3 linked regions of the Macaca mulatta genome follow. The protein of the gene in region 1 purifies or fractionates together with the protein of each later gene. This does not show direct contact. Links are inferred from orthologs where the notes say so. Each region holds a gene or a part of one and is shown on either strand. Other genes may lie near its edges.

Evidence for each region.
Region 2: the proteins of TNRC6B (region 1) and AGO4 purify together in Homo sapiens (co-immunoprecipitation; 3 studies listed by BioGRID and IntAct, with this or other methods). This does not show direct contact. The link is inferred for Macaca mulatta from reciprocal best matches to the Homo sapiens genes TNRC6B and AGO4.
Region 3: the proteins of TNRC6B (region 1) and AGO3 purify together in Homo sapiens (affinity purification with mass spectrometry; 6 studies listed by BioGRID and IntAct, with this or other methods). This does not show direct contact. The link is inferred for Macaca mulatta from reciprocal best matches to the Homo sapiens genes TNRC6B and AGO3.

What each region holds. Positions count from the first base shown.
Region 1 is NC_133415.1:11,266,956-11,270,604, forward strand, and holds part of TNRC6B (trinucleotide repeat-containing gene 6B protein), read right to left. Parts: intron 232-3,649; coding exon 1-231.
Region 2 is NC_133406.1:205,006,356-205,010,668, reverse strand, and holds the start of AGO4 (protein argonaute-4), read left to right. Parts: upstream 1-1,464; 5' UTR 1,465-1,551; coding exon 1,552-2,090; intron 2,091-4,313.
Region 3 is NC_133406.1:204,774,351-204,777,999, reverse strand, and holds part of AGO3 (protein argonaute-3), read left to right. Parts: intron 1-62; coding exon 63-222; intron 223-2,040; coding exon 2,041-2,131; intron 2,132-3,649.

The sequences.
Region 1 (3,649 bases):
TGCAGGACGGTGGAGGGGGCTGCCCACGTTTTAGTAACACTTTGTGGTCCTGCTGGCAACGGAATCGCGGCGGCACCTCCCGAGGCATGTAGCGGGCGGCGCTTGGCGGTTGTCCGTTCGGCACTGCCACCCTTTTGGCATTGTTGCCACCATTGACTGGTGGCGATGGAGAGCTGCCAATTGGGCTGGCGGCCGTTGGTTGGCTTAAACTTGGTTTCGTCACTTCGGGCACTAAAAGAGAGGGGTTGGGAAACAGTCTTTGAAATACATCAAATACATTTTTTCTAAAACTTTAAATAATTTTATTATTTTATTGAGAGATGGAGTCTTGCCATGTTGCCCACGCTGGTCTCGAACTTGGGCTCAAGGGATTCTCCCACCTTGGCTTTCCAAAGTGCTAGGATTACAAGAGTGAGGCACTGCGCCTGGCCAAGATTATTTTTTATTATTTTATTATTATTTTTTTGAGATGGAGTCTCACATTGTCGCCTAGGCCAGAGTGCAGTGGTGCAACCTCCGCTCACTGCAACCTCTGCCTCCCGGGTTCAAGCGATTCTCCTGCCTCAGCCTCCCAAGTAGCTCGGATTACAGGCGCCTGCCATCACAACCAGCTAATTTTTTGTATTTTTAGTAGAGACGAGGTTTCACTATGTTGGCCAGGCTGGTCTCAAACTCCTGACCTCGTGATCCGCCTGCCTTGGTCTTGTATTGGGATTACAGGCATGAGCCACTGCGCCCAGCCTATTTTTTATTTTTTTTTTTAGATGGGGTCTTGCTGTATAACTCGGGCTGGAGTGCGGTGATCTTGACTTGATGCAACTTCCACCTCCAGGGCTCAAGTGATCCTCCCACCTCAGCCTCCTACGTAGCTGCGACTATAGGCATACACCACCATGCCAACTAATTTTTTTTTCCTCTTCTAGAGACAGGGTTTCGCCATGTTGCCTACCTAGGCTGGTCTCAAACTCCTGAACTCAAGCTATTTACCCACCTCGGCCTCCCAAAGTGCTGGGATTACAGCTGTGAGCCACCACACCTAGACCCTGGCTAAGATTATTTGTAAGAAAGCTTACATGGTACCAATTCTAACAAAGTAACTTCTCCTTTCACTCTACTCTCAAGGGACATAGTTATTCCAAATTCTCCACCATCTCTTCACAGTTTACTGAAGGCAGGATGAAGGTGGCGGCTAATAGTGACATGAATTTAAACACAGCAAGATCATGGAATACATTCCATCAATTAAGGGGGAGATGGAAGCGATCATCATTCACTCCCCTAAATCAACAGTGGAATTAATGCCCTGGAGTGCTGCCTAGAAGAGTTAAATGTCCATGGCAAAGTCCTTGGGAAAGGGTTCAAGCCTCAGTCCAAGGGTCCCTTCCTTTCATCCACATTCTTTTTTTTTTTTTTTTGAGACAGAGTCTCGTTCTGTCACCCAGGTTGGAGTGCAGTGGCATGATCTTGGCTCACTGCAAGCTCTGCCGCCTCCCGGGTTCACAACATTCTCCTGCCTCAGCCTCCCAAGAGGCTGGGACTACAGGCGCCTGCCACGACACCCAGCTAATTTTCTTTAGAGATGGGGTTTCACCGTGTTCGCCAGGATGGTCTCGATCTCCTGACCTCGTGATCCGCCCGCCTCGGCCTCCCAAAGTGCTGGGATTACAGGCGTGAGCCACCGCGCCCGGCCCTCATCCACATTCTTAAAAGATCTACCCCTGAGTAACCTTCCTTGAAGTCCCCGGCCTAGGTGAGCTAAACATTCTTCCTAAGTGTTCCTGGAACACATCATCCCGCTCTCTCTACCATGAAAATTCTCCATTCAAAAGTCCATCTATCTCTACCACAGAAATTCTCCATTTATAAGTCCCATCTCTCTCTGCCACGGAAATTCTCCACTTACAAGTCCTTCTCCCTCACCAGGCCATGACTTCCTGAGGGCAAGGACCTATCTTTCATCTTTTCTTTTTTCCTTAGGGCATGGCACAGAGTAGACTCTTACAAGAAACTCCAGGTCTGGAAAATCACAAACTCAGCTTGGTTTTGGTTTCTACAGCTACCTGGACTCAAAGACTTGCACCGCTCTCTGTGTAAATACTAGAAATGTTACAAATCTTTTTGCTTTTGTTAAATGTAAATACTTTTTCTATTTACTTTAAATAATTCGATTTTTTGACCTCAATTTTAAAAATGGCCCGCATACAGTGTGGGAATGTCGGGGCAACCATGAAGCTGCACTCTGCCAGATCCTCTGGCTCTCCCCTTGAACCTACAGAGAAGGCTCTCTGAGATCTGCACCTCCCTCACTACATGCTGCCAAAAGATCACTACCCTCTCCATAAACTCTGCCTGGCAAATAGAGGCTGGAAGTCGTACAGAAATAATCATCAAGCCTGATAGTTCAGATGATTCTGAGGCCCAAGTCCCTGCCTCCCAGGGTAACGTCAGGGCCAGCTCTGCGGGTAACGCTGCTTTGACTGCTAAAATGATGCTGGGCCAGCATGTCGCTTGTTGAACTGGCTCCTTTATGAGAGAGATACAGCATCATCAGAAATCAGGCGGCCCAATCTATGCCACTACCGCACATTAACACACTGTGGGTGACAGGAAGTGCCTGCAGCAACTTCCAGGCGACCCCATGTCTAACTTCAGCCAATCACAAGGCAGCACCAGGCATCCCAGTAAGGGGAGGGGGAGTGGAGGTCACAGGATCCAAAATCTGATAAGCATAATAAATGTGTGACTTAAGAAAACAAAACTAGTCGGCTGGGCGCGGTGGCTCACACCTGTAATCCCAGCACTTTGGGAGGTCAAGGCAGGTGGATCACAAGGTCAGGAGTTCGAGACCATCCTGGCCAACATCGTGAAACCTCGCCTCTACTAAAAATACAAAAGTTAGCTGGGTGTGGTGGCGTGTGCCTATAGTCCCAGCTACTCAGGAGGCTGAGGAGAATTGCTTGAACCTGGGAGGCGGGGCTTGCAGTGAGCCGAGATCCTGTCACTGCACTCCATTCTGGGCCACAGAGCAAGACTCCGTCTCAAAAAAAAAAAAAAAAAAGAAAGAAAGAAAATAAAATTAGTCATTATCTAATATTCATGACCTATAATAGATGGATACGTAACTGGTAAATGAATGAATGAAGATTATTTAATATTAATTTTCTATCTGTTATTGGCGGATTCTATAGCATAGGGCATTCGCAATCCCCTTTTATCTTATTATGAGAATAAACAAGAAGTTGGCAGAGACTGGAGAAATTCATCCAAACTGGTTTTTAGGACAGAAAGAGCTATGTTTCTGTAAGGCTGCCCTTCTATAAAAGGTCTAGAATCTTCATTATAAGTTAACCAGGTCTACTACATACTTTTAACTCAATCCAGAAAAACAAGACAAGACAGAGTGACCTAAAGGACTGAGTGCTGAACTTCAGTTTGACTCACTTTAAAACATTCACAGCACTGTTTCAACCGAAGAAATTTGGTAGGTATCACGTATCATGTAAGATTCCTTGCAAAAGTTCCTCAGGGCACTTTCCCACCACATCAGAGACAGAATGGATTGTAAATGATAAAGTCATTATAAAATGGGAACACACCTCAACCACTTTCCTCCCAATACAGTGTGCTCTGGCCCAGGAGATTAGTCATT
Region 2 (4,313 bases), on another chromosome or scaffold:
GCTTCACTGCAACATCATATAATGCAAAGCCCGACTTACTTAACTTCCCTGAGCTTTGGTGTCATCATCTGTACAAATACCTTTCTTAACAATATCTACCTTACTGGTGGTTGTAAAGATTGAGTGACATGAGAAGCCCATAGCAGAGTGCATGACCAGGGTGTGATGCTAACATTTTTTTATCATTACATTAAAAAAAACTAGCTGGCTCTATGACTGCACATGGTAGGTGCTCAAATGAATATTCTACCACACAAGCTAGGGGCTAAATTGTCCCCCACCCCAATAATTTGTATATCGAAGTCCTAACTCTAGCACCCCAGGATGTAACTGTATTTGGAAACAGGGTCTCTGAAGAGGTAACTGAGTTAAAATGAGGTCATTAGAGTGAGTCCTACTCTAATATGACTGCTGTCCTTATAAGAAGAAGAAATTTGGACACAGACACGCACAGAGGGAAGTCCATGTGAAGTCACTGGGAGAAGGCCACCATCTACCAAGTGAAGTAGATAGGCCTCAGAAGGAACCAACCCTGCCTATACCGTATCTGGGATTCTCAGCCTCCAGAATTGTGAGAAAATAAATTTCTGTTGTTTAAGCCACCTAGTCTGTGGTACTTTGCTATGTTATGCCCCAGCAAAGAATACAACACACACACACTCATCATAGCTTTTCAACTGGTGGACAAGGGGCTCCTTCACTCTGCTGACTAGAAACTGCTTCTTGGCCTGTTGCCCAATGTTGTCCCACTCAAAGTCCTTACTGAAAGCCCTGAAGATGCCGGGCCTGCTGGGCTGACCATGCTGCCTTGGAGGTGGTGCTGCTCCCTTGGCTCTTGTCTGCTAAGGGGAAAGCATCCAAGAAAGCAAGACCTTTCTCTTTCTTTTTTCTTTTTCTTTTTTTTTTTTTTTTTTTGAGATGGAGTCTCACTCTGTCGCCCAGGCTGGAATGCAATGGTCCCATCTCGGCTCACTGGAACCTCTGCATCGCAGGTTCAAGCGATTCTGCTGCCTCAGCCTCCCAGGTAGCTGGGATTATAGGCGCCCGCCACCACGCCCGGCTAATTTTTTGTGTTTTTAGTAGAGACTGGGTTCCGCCATGTTGGCCAGGCTGGTCTCAAACTCCTGACTTCAGGTGATCCACCCGCCTTGGCCTCCCAAAGTGCTGGGATTACAGGCGTGAGCCACCACGCCCGGCCAAGACCTTTCTCTTCTAAAGTGACTGGTGATTTGCTGACCAGAGGCGCTTGTCATGGGACCGGGGAGGGAATGCATCATTCATCAGAGTCCATTCCCGTGGTGCCTTCCGGCTATACGGAGAGGGACGCGCCGTTGGGTGTGTGGTGCTGGATGAAGGGATGAAGGAGGACTGCTGCCTCTAAGGTGACCCTAAAAGACAGGATGACAGAAGCGATCTGGGGTGGGAGGAGGGAAGAGGGAGGCGAGGTGGCTCCTGTGAATCTCAGCACACTTTCCACTCACAGAAGTGGAAAACTGAATCTGTGGGTCGGCGGAACTGGAATCCAGATCTTTTGCAGGACGCCCTGGGGGGATGGCACGTAGCCCCCAGAGCCGTTGGCCACGGGACGGCGTCCTCGGGCAGACGGGGCAGAGCGGGCCAGCGGGCGCGTGCCCGACACGTCCACCGGGCACTGCCCCCTCCGGGCGCGCGCCCGTCCCGCCGACCCGCCTCGCCCCCCGCCGGGCTCGGTGGACCCCCGCACCTGGGCCCGCGCACGCCCCCTCCGCCCGCCGGGACCCCGGGCCCGCGCACCCCGCGCCCCCTCCCCTCCCGGCGGGCGCGCGCGCTGGCTCCCGCTCCCGCTCCCGTTGGCGGCGGCGGCGGCGGCGGGGATTGTTTTTGTTGTCGCTGAGGCCGGAAGAGCCGGAGCCGGGTCCCTGTCCCCGGGCCGGGCGCCGCCGCCGCCCCCTACCCAGCGCCCGCGTCTCCGCGGCGCCACCCCAGCGCCAATATTCCGGAGATCAAGCGTTACGCGGCGGCGGCGGCGGCGGCGGCGGGGCCCGGAGCGGGAGGCGCCGGGGACCGGGGCGAGGCGGCCCCCGCCGCCGCCATGGAGGCGCTGGGACCCGGTGAGGAGCGAGCTCGGGTAGGGGCGGGACCCGGGACCCGGGGCCCGGGGCGGGCGGCCGGGACTTTGGCTGCCCCGTCGCCCAGCCGGGTTTGGGCCGCCAGGCCTCGGGGAAGGGGACCCGAGCGCCGCAGCACGAAGCAGAGGGAGCTGACCCGGGCCTGGGGGGCGGTGACCGCGCCCCAGACGGCCGTTGGGTGGATCCTGAGGTCCGAGGGGGAGGTTCGGGAAGGTGACCCGCTCCGCCGGGCGGAGGCCACTCCTGGCCCCACTTCGGGGAGATGATTTGTGCCCGGGATCGCGGCGAGGGTAGTTTGGGCCTCAGAAGGGGCGATCCGCTGCCCAGTGCGCGCGGAGGCCTGGCCCAGACCGGGAAAAGGGCCCCGCTGCCAGCTAGTAGCCGGTAGTCCTGGTTTGGGGCCGCGCCCCTGTTTTTCTTTGCATTGGCAGACGGTCCAGAGCCTTCAGATGAGGAAGAAGAACTTCATCCAAACACCTCTCATGATCTCTGAAGGTCAAGAGACAAAATGCCCATCCTTTCTGAAAGGCCCTGATGTCCCGAAGAACATGGTTCTGTGCCTCTATCTGTTACTCAGTCTGTGTGTTAGTCACAGAGTGGTCCGGGCCAGCCTTTGAGTGACACGGGAGTTGCCAGCCAGTCTGCTCCAGCACAGGCTTCAGTGCCCTGAGTTCTCTTCTAATTGGGTTATGAGTGGTTGTGAGGATCAAATGAAGGAGAAAGTGCTTTGGAAACTGTAATTTGTTGTGGATATGGATGGCCTCTGGTTATTTCTCTCTATCCAAACCATAGGAACCATTCCAGGCTGTAATGAGTGCCCTGAGTATTGGGGCCTGGTGCTTCCACCTCAAAGCCCAACAGGTTTCTAATGCCTTGGCTAAGTAGCGCAGGGTTTAGGGGCTGTGGTGGAATTAACTTTAATATTCAAATCTTACCTACATAATGATCTTAGTCGTAGAGTGTTTCGTCTTTTTAATGCGTAGACAATTTGAGTTGCCATTTGAGTTTGGAAACTTGGCAGGTTTGTTTACTTAGCACTTGTTTGCATAGCTAAGTGATTAAACTCCACCCTAATTTGCTTCTTCAAGTATTGTTTAAAGGCCCTCATAATCAAATTTCATATGCCTTTTAAAAATAAATTGGCTTGCCGCATTAATATTATTTGATAAACTTCAGTGTATTATGCCAGGTTAACTTCAGATATGTCCCCTGGCTAAAGACATGATCAGGTCTTTAGGAATGTAACAGACTTCTGTTCAAATTCAATATAGTAATGTAAGAGTTGTATGACCCTGGGCAAATTACTTAATTCCTTTGAACTTTCATTTTCTCATCTCTAAATTGAGGGTAATAATAATTATGTTCTGTAAGATTGTTGAGAGAATGAAATGAGAGTATATGAGAAGTCTCACTATAGAGACTAGTGCCTATAGATGCTCAACAAATGTTTCTTCCCTCCCCCTAGTAATTCATAATTGAAACAACTGTTGCATTTATGAGCTGATATCAAAAGAAACTGTGTAACTGTGGGCATAAACTGAATTTCATGGAAAGGATCAACCTGGTGATGTTAGGCACTGCCCAGGGACTCTTTTTTTTGTTTGTTTGTTTGATTTTAGCTTTTGCAGGTTTGAGGATTTAGTGGTTCACTCAGGATTGTTCAGATTGTGGAAAATTAATTCTCACTAACTATATTTATAAGACACTAATGAATAAGCCAAAATGTCACATAGATCTTTTCTGTTGAGTGGAATATTTTCCTGTCTGCTCTCTAGCAAACTCCTTTTTTGGTGCTGCAGTACCTTGGAAACCCAACTAATAAGTAGCTGCCTGCTAAGCATAGAATCAGAGCAAAGGGAGTTGATCGTCCTGTGGGATGATTCATCCAGGCTGTTTTAGAACCTGGAGAATCATCCCTGCTTCTCTGGCAGAGCACACCTGGATCTAGTGCTTTGTGCCCTCCTCACTTGAACAGTCCCTGAAACCTTAGTCTAGTCTTATTCTGTCTGCCCCCCACCACCGCCTCCCCGCAACCCGTTTCAGTTTCTGCCAATACTCAGAAATATAATTAATTAGATTACCACTTATTATGGTAATATGTTGTTTGCAGTACTTTACAGTTTGTAAAGTGCCTTTATAACTATTAGGTCATTTAATCCTCTGGGAGGTAGGCAAGGCAGGTAGCTATTCCATTTTACAGATGAG
Region 3 (3,649 bases), on another chromosome or scaffold:
CAGTATGTAAAATTGTTTTCAGGTCTTTTTTTCTGACTAGAGGTTTTGCATCTGTTCCGTAGCGGAAGTGAAACGTGTAGGAGACACACTTTTGGGTATGGCCACACAATGTGTTCAAGTCAAGAATGTAATAAAAACATCTCCTCAAACTCTCTCAAACTTGTGCCTAAAGATAAATGTTAAACTCGGAGGAATCAATAATATTCTTGTACCTCATCAAAGGTAAGATATGCTAATCACTTATGAAAATATTATTTTTTATATCTTCATTTGTCTACATATGACCATATCTAACTACTATAAGAGCTGTGTAAGAGACCCCCTTAATAATTCCTACCGTGGGAGATTCATAGGCATTTTGGTAAAAAATTAAAATAATCTGGATTGGCAAGGGTCAGAGATTCTCTTGTGAAAATGTCCCCCACAATTTTGTTTTATTTTTTATTTATTTATTTTTTTGAGACAGAGTCTTGCTCAGTCACCCAGGCTGGAGTGCAGTGGCGCGATCTCAGCTCACTGCAAGCTCCACCTCCCGGGTTCCCACCATTCTCCTGCCTCAGCCTCCCAAGTAGCTGGGACTACAGGCACCTGCCACCACGCCTGGCTAATTTTTTGCATTTTTAGTAGAGACGGGGTTTCACCATGTTAGCCAGGATGGTCTCGATCTCCTGACCTCATGATCCACCCACCTCGGCCTCCCAAAGTGCTGGGATTACAGGCGTGAGCCACCGCGCCCGGCCCTTTGTTTTATGTTTTAAGCAAAGAATGAAGCAACAAAAGCAGAGATTTATTGAAAATGAAAGTACACTCCACAGGGTGGGAGCAGGCTCGAGCCCCAGCAATTTTCATTTAGTATGCAAAGTACCTCTTACCTAGCCAGAAAGTATCCAGAGATTGATTTCTCACTGGAGAGCCCAGCTTGAAGAATTTTCACTTTATTTGGTAATCATCTTCAATCTGGTTTCATGAGGCTGCTCACTTACCTGGAATGTGAAGGACAGAAGGACCTGGGGGCCCAGATTAGTCAATTAAGTAAGCCATATCAGCCCTCCTGCTGTAGTCAGTGAGAAAGCATATTACTGTTCGATCACCCTTCTTCGAGCTAGAACTCTTAGGAAGTGTGAGACACCACGACCTAGAAACAGAAGGTAGCTTATTGTGCAAGTCTCTGAGGAAGAGGCCACTTTTCAGAGAATTGAACAAGTTCCCTTTTAATAGTTGAAGCAATTAGGCCTCCAAAAAGTTAACTACCCACCACAAATAAACATTAGAATAAGGATTGGACCATGTTTTTTCCTCTTTTTCCATGCCACCTCTACTTTCTACCCCTGTTCAATATGAGATGAGATCCATAAATGAGATAAATAAAGAATTTTATCAACAAGTCCAACATGGTGAAACTTCATCTCTACAAAAAATAGAAAGATTAGCCATGTGTGGTGGCACGTGCCTGTCGTTCCAGCTACTCCAGAGGCTGTGGTGGGAGGATTGCCTGAGCCCGGGGAAGTCAAGGCTGCAGTGAACCGTGATTACACCACTGCACTCCAGCCTGGGCAACACAGTGAGACCCTGTCTCAAAAAAACAACAATAACATAAAGTAAAATAAAAGGAAATGCTAGCTACTTTATGACCATTGAATATATGTTACTCAAATTTATACTTTCGGCCAGGGCGTGGGAGTAGTAGATTCCCAAAACCCCTTCCAGTCTAAAGTGTAATGATTCCTTTTTCCCTTGAGAGATTACACAGGTTTAAAATATAAGTTGATTTTTAAACAGTGATAAAAATTTGTGGATCATAAGGAAGTTTATAATTTTGTGCCCATGTTGGAGAATACTAGCATCTGTTAATATGAATATAGCCCTTTTCAACCACCAGCATCACTATTTTAGACAAAATTCTGCTGTGAGTAAGACTTTGGATTACATAGGACTTCCTCTGTGCTGTCAATAACTTGAAGTTATGTTGCAATTGTGTGAAACAGATAAATGAATAATGAAAAAATGAAATATCTAACCCTTTTTCAAAATGTGTTGAAGACCTTCTGTGTTCCAGCAACCAGTGATCTTTTTGGGAGCCGACGTCACTCATCCACCTGCTGGTGATGGAAAGAAGCCTTCTATTGCTGCTGTGAGTGTTCGCCAGGTTTATCTTACCTGACGTTGACAGACCAGTATCAATTTTGCAGTTTCCAATTTTTGACTTTTAATATTTTCTTTGTAGCCAACTTTCATAAGTGTTCTTTGGGTTTTTGAAAAGAGTGATTATTCTCTGGTTTGGGGTTTACAAGTTCCATATGTAACTATTAAATCAAGTTTGCTAGTTATATCATTCAAATCTTCTGTATTATACTTTAATTTGTCTACTTGACCTCTCCATGATTATGCATTTTTAGTTACTTTTTGTTGTTTTGAATAGTTTGTATATTTCAGTAATGTCTTTGTCATAGAAAGATGCATTACATATAAGCCTGGTGGATTACATTTTTTAACATATAAAATGTCTTCTACCTTCATCCAGTTCAATACTTTGCACCTGAATTCTTTTATTTTATTTTACTTTATTTTATTTCTTTTTTTCAGACAGAGTTATCCTGTTGCCCAGGCTGGAGTGCAGTGACACAATCTCGGCTCACTGCAACCTCCGTGTCCCAGGTTCAATCGATTCTCCTGCCTCAGCCTCCCGAGTAGCTGGGAGTAGAGGCACCTGCCACCATGCCCAGCTAATTTTTCTTATTTTTTAGTAGAGACGGAGCTTCACCATGTTGGCCAGGCTTGTCTTGAATTCCTGATCTCAGTCAGTCCACCCGCCTCTGCCTCCCAAATTGCTTAGATTACAGGCGGTGAGCTACCACGCCTGGCCAAATTCTTTATTTTACTATTGCTGCTCCTGCTTTTAGCATCTGCCTATTTTTAATTTGCTCTCTAGTTGTAACCTTTTTGTGTCAGTTTAAGTGTGTTTCTTATAAACTTGAGAAAGCCTGATAATATTTTACCCATTTTGAAAATCACTTGATTTTAACAAATAACCAACATTTTGAAAATATGAACATATTTTAGGCTTATTTAATAAACTTCAGAAATTAAACTGTAAGATTTAATTGGCCAGGCGCGGTGGCTCATGCCTATAATCCCGACACTTTGGGAGGCTGAGGCGGGTGGATCACTTGAGGTCAGGAGTTTGAGACCAGCCTGACCAACATGGTGAAACCACATCTCTGTGAAAAATACGAAATTAGCCTGACGTGGTGGCAGGTGCCTTAAAGGTACCTACCTGGGTGACAGAGGGAGACCCCGTCTCAAAAAAAAAGATTTAATATTTTTTCTATGATCCATTGTAATCTTCACATAAATCGTACGTTTTAGGAATCTGATAAATACAATTCATCCCTGAAAATGATAGTAATATTTAAATTTTCACTTCAAGGTTTCAAAGCTATTTTTATTAGTATAAAGGAAATTAATTTTTATCTATTCTCTTGCTTTGTTTTTTTTTGTTTTTTGTTTTTTTTTTTTTTTTTTGAGACAGAGTCTTGCTCTGTTGCCTAGGCTGGAGTGCAGTGGCGCAATCTCTGCTCACTGCAAGCTCTGCCTCCCGGGTTCACACCATTCTCCTGCCTCAGCCTCCTGAGTAGCTGAGACTTCAGGC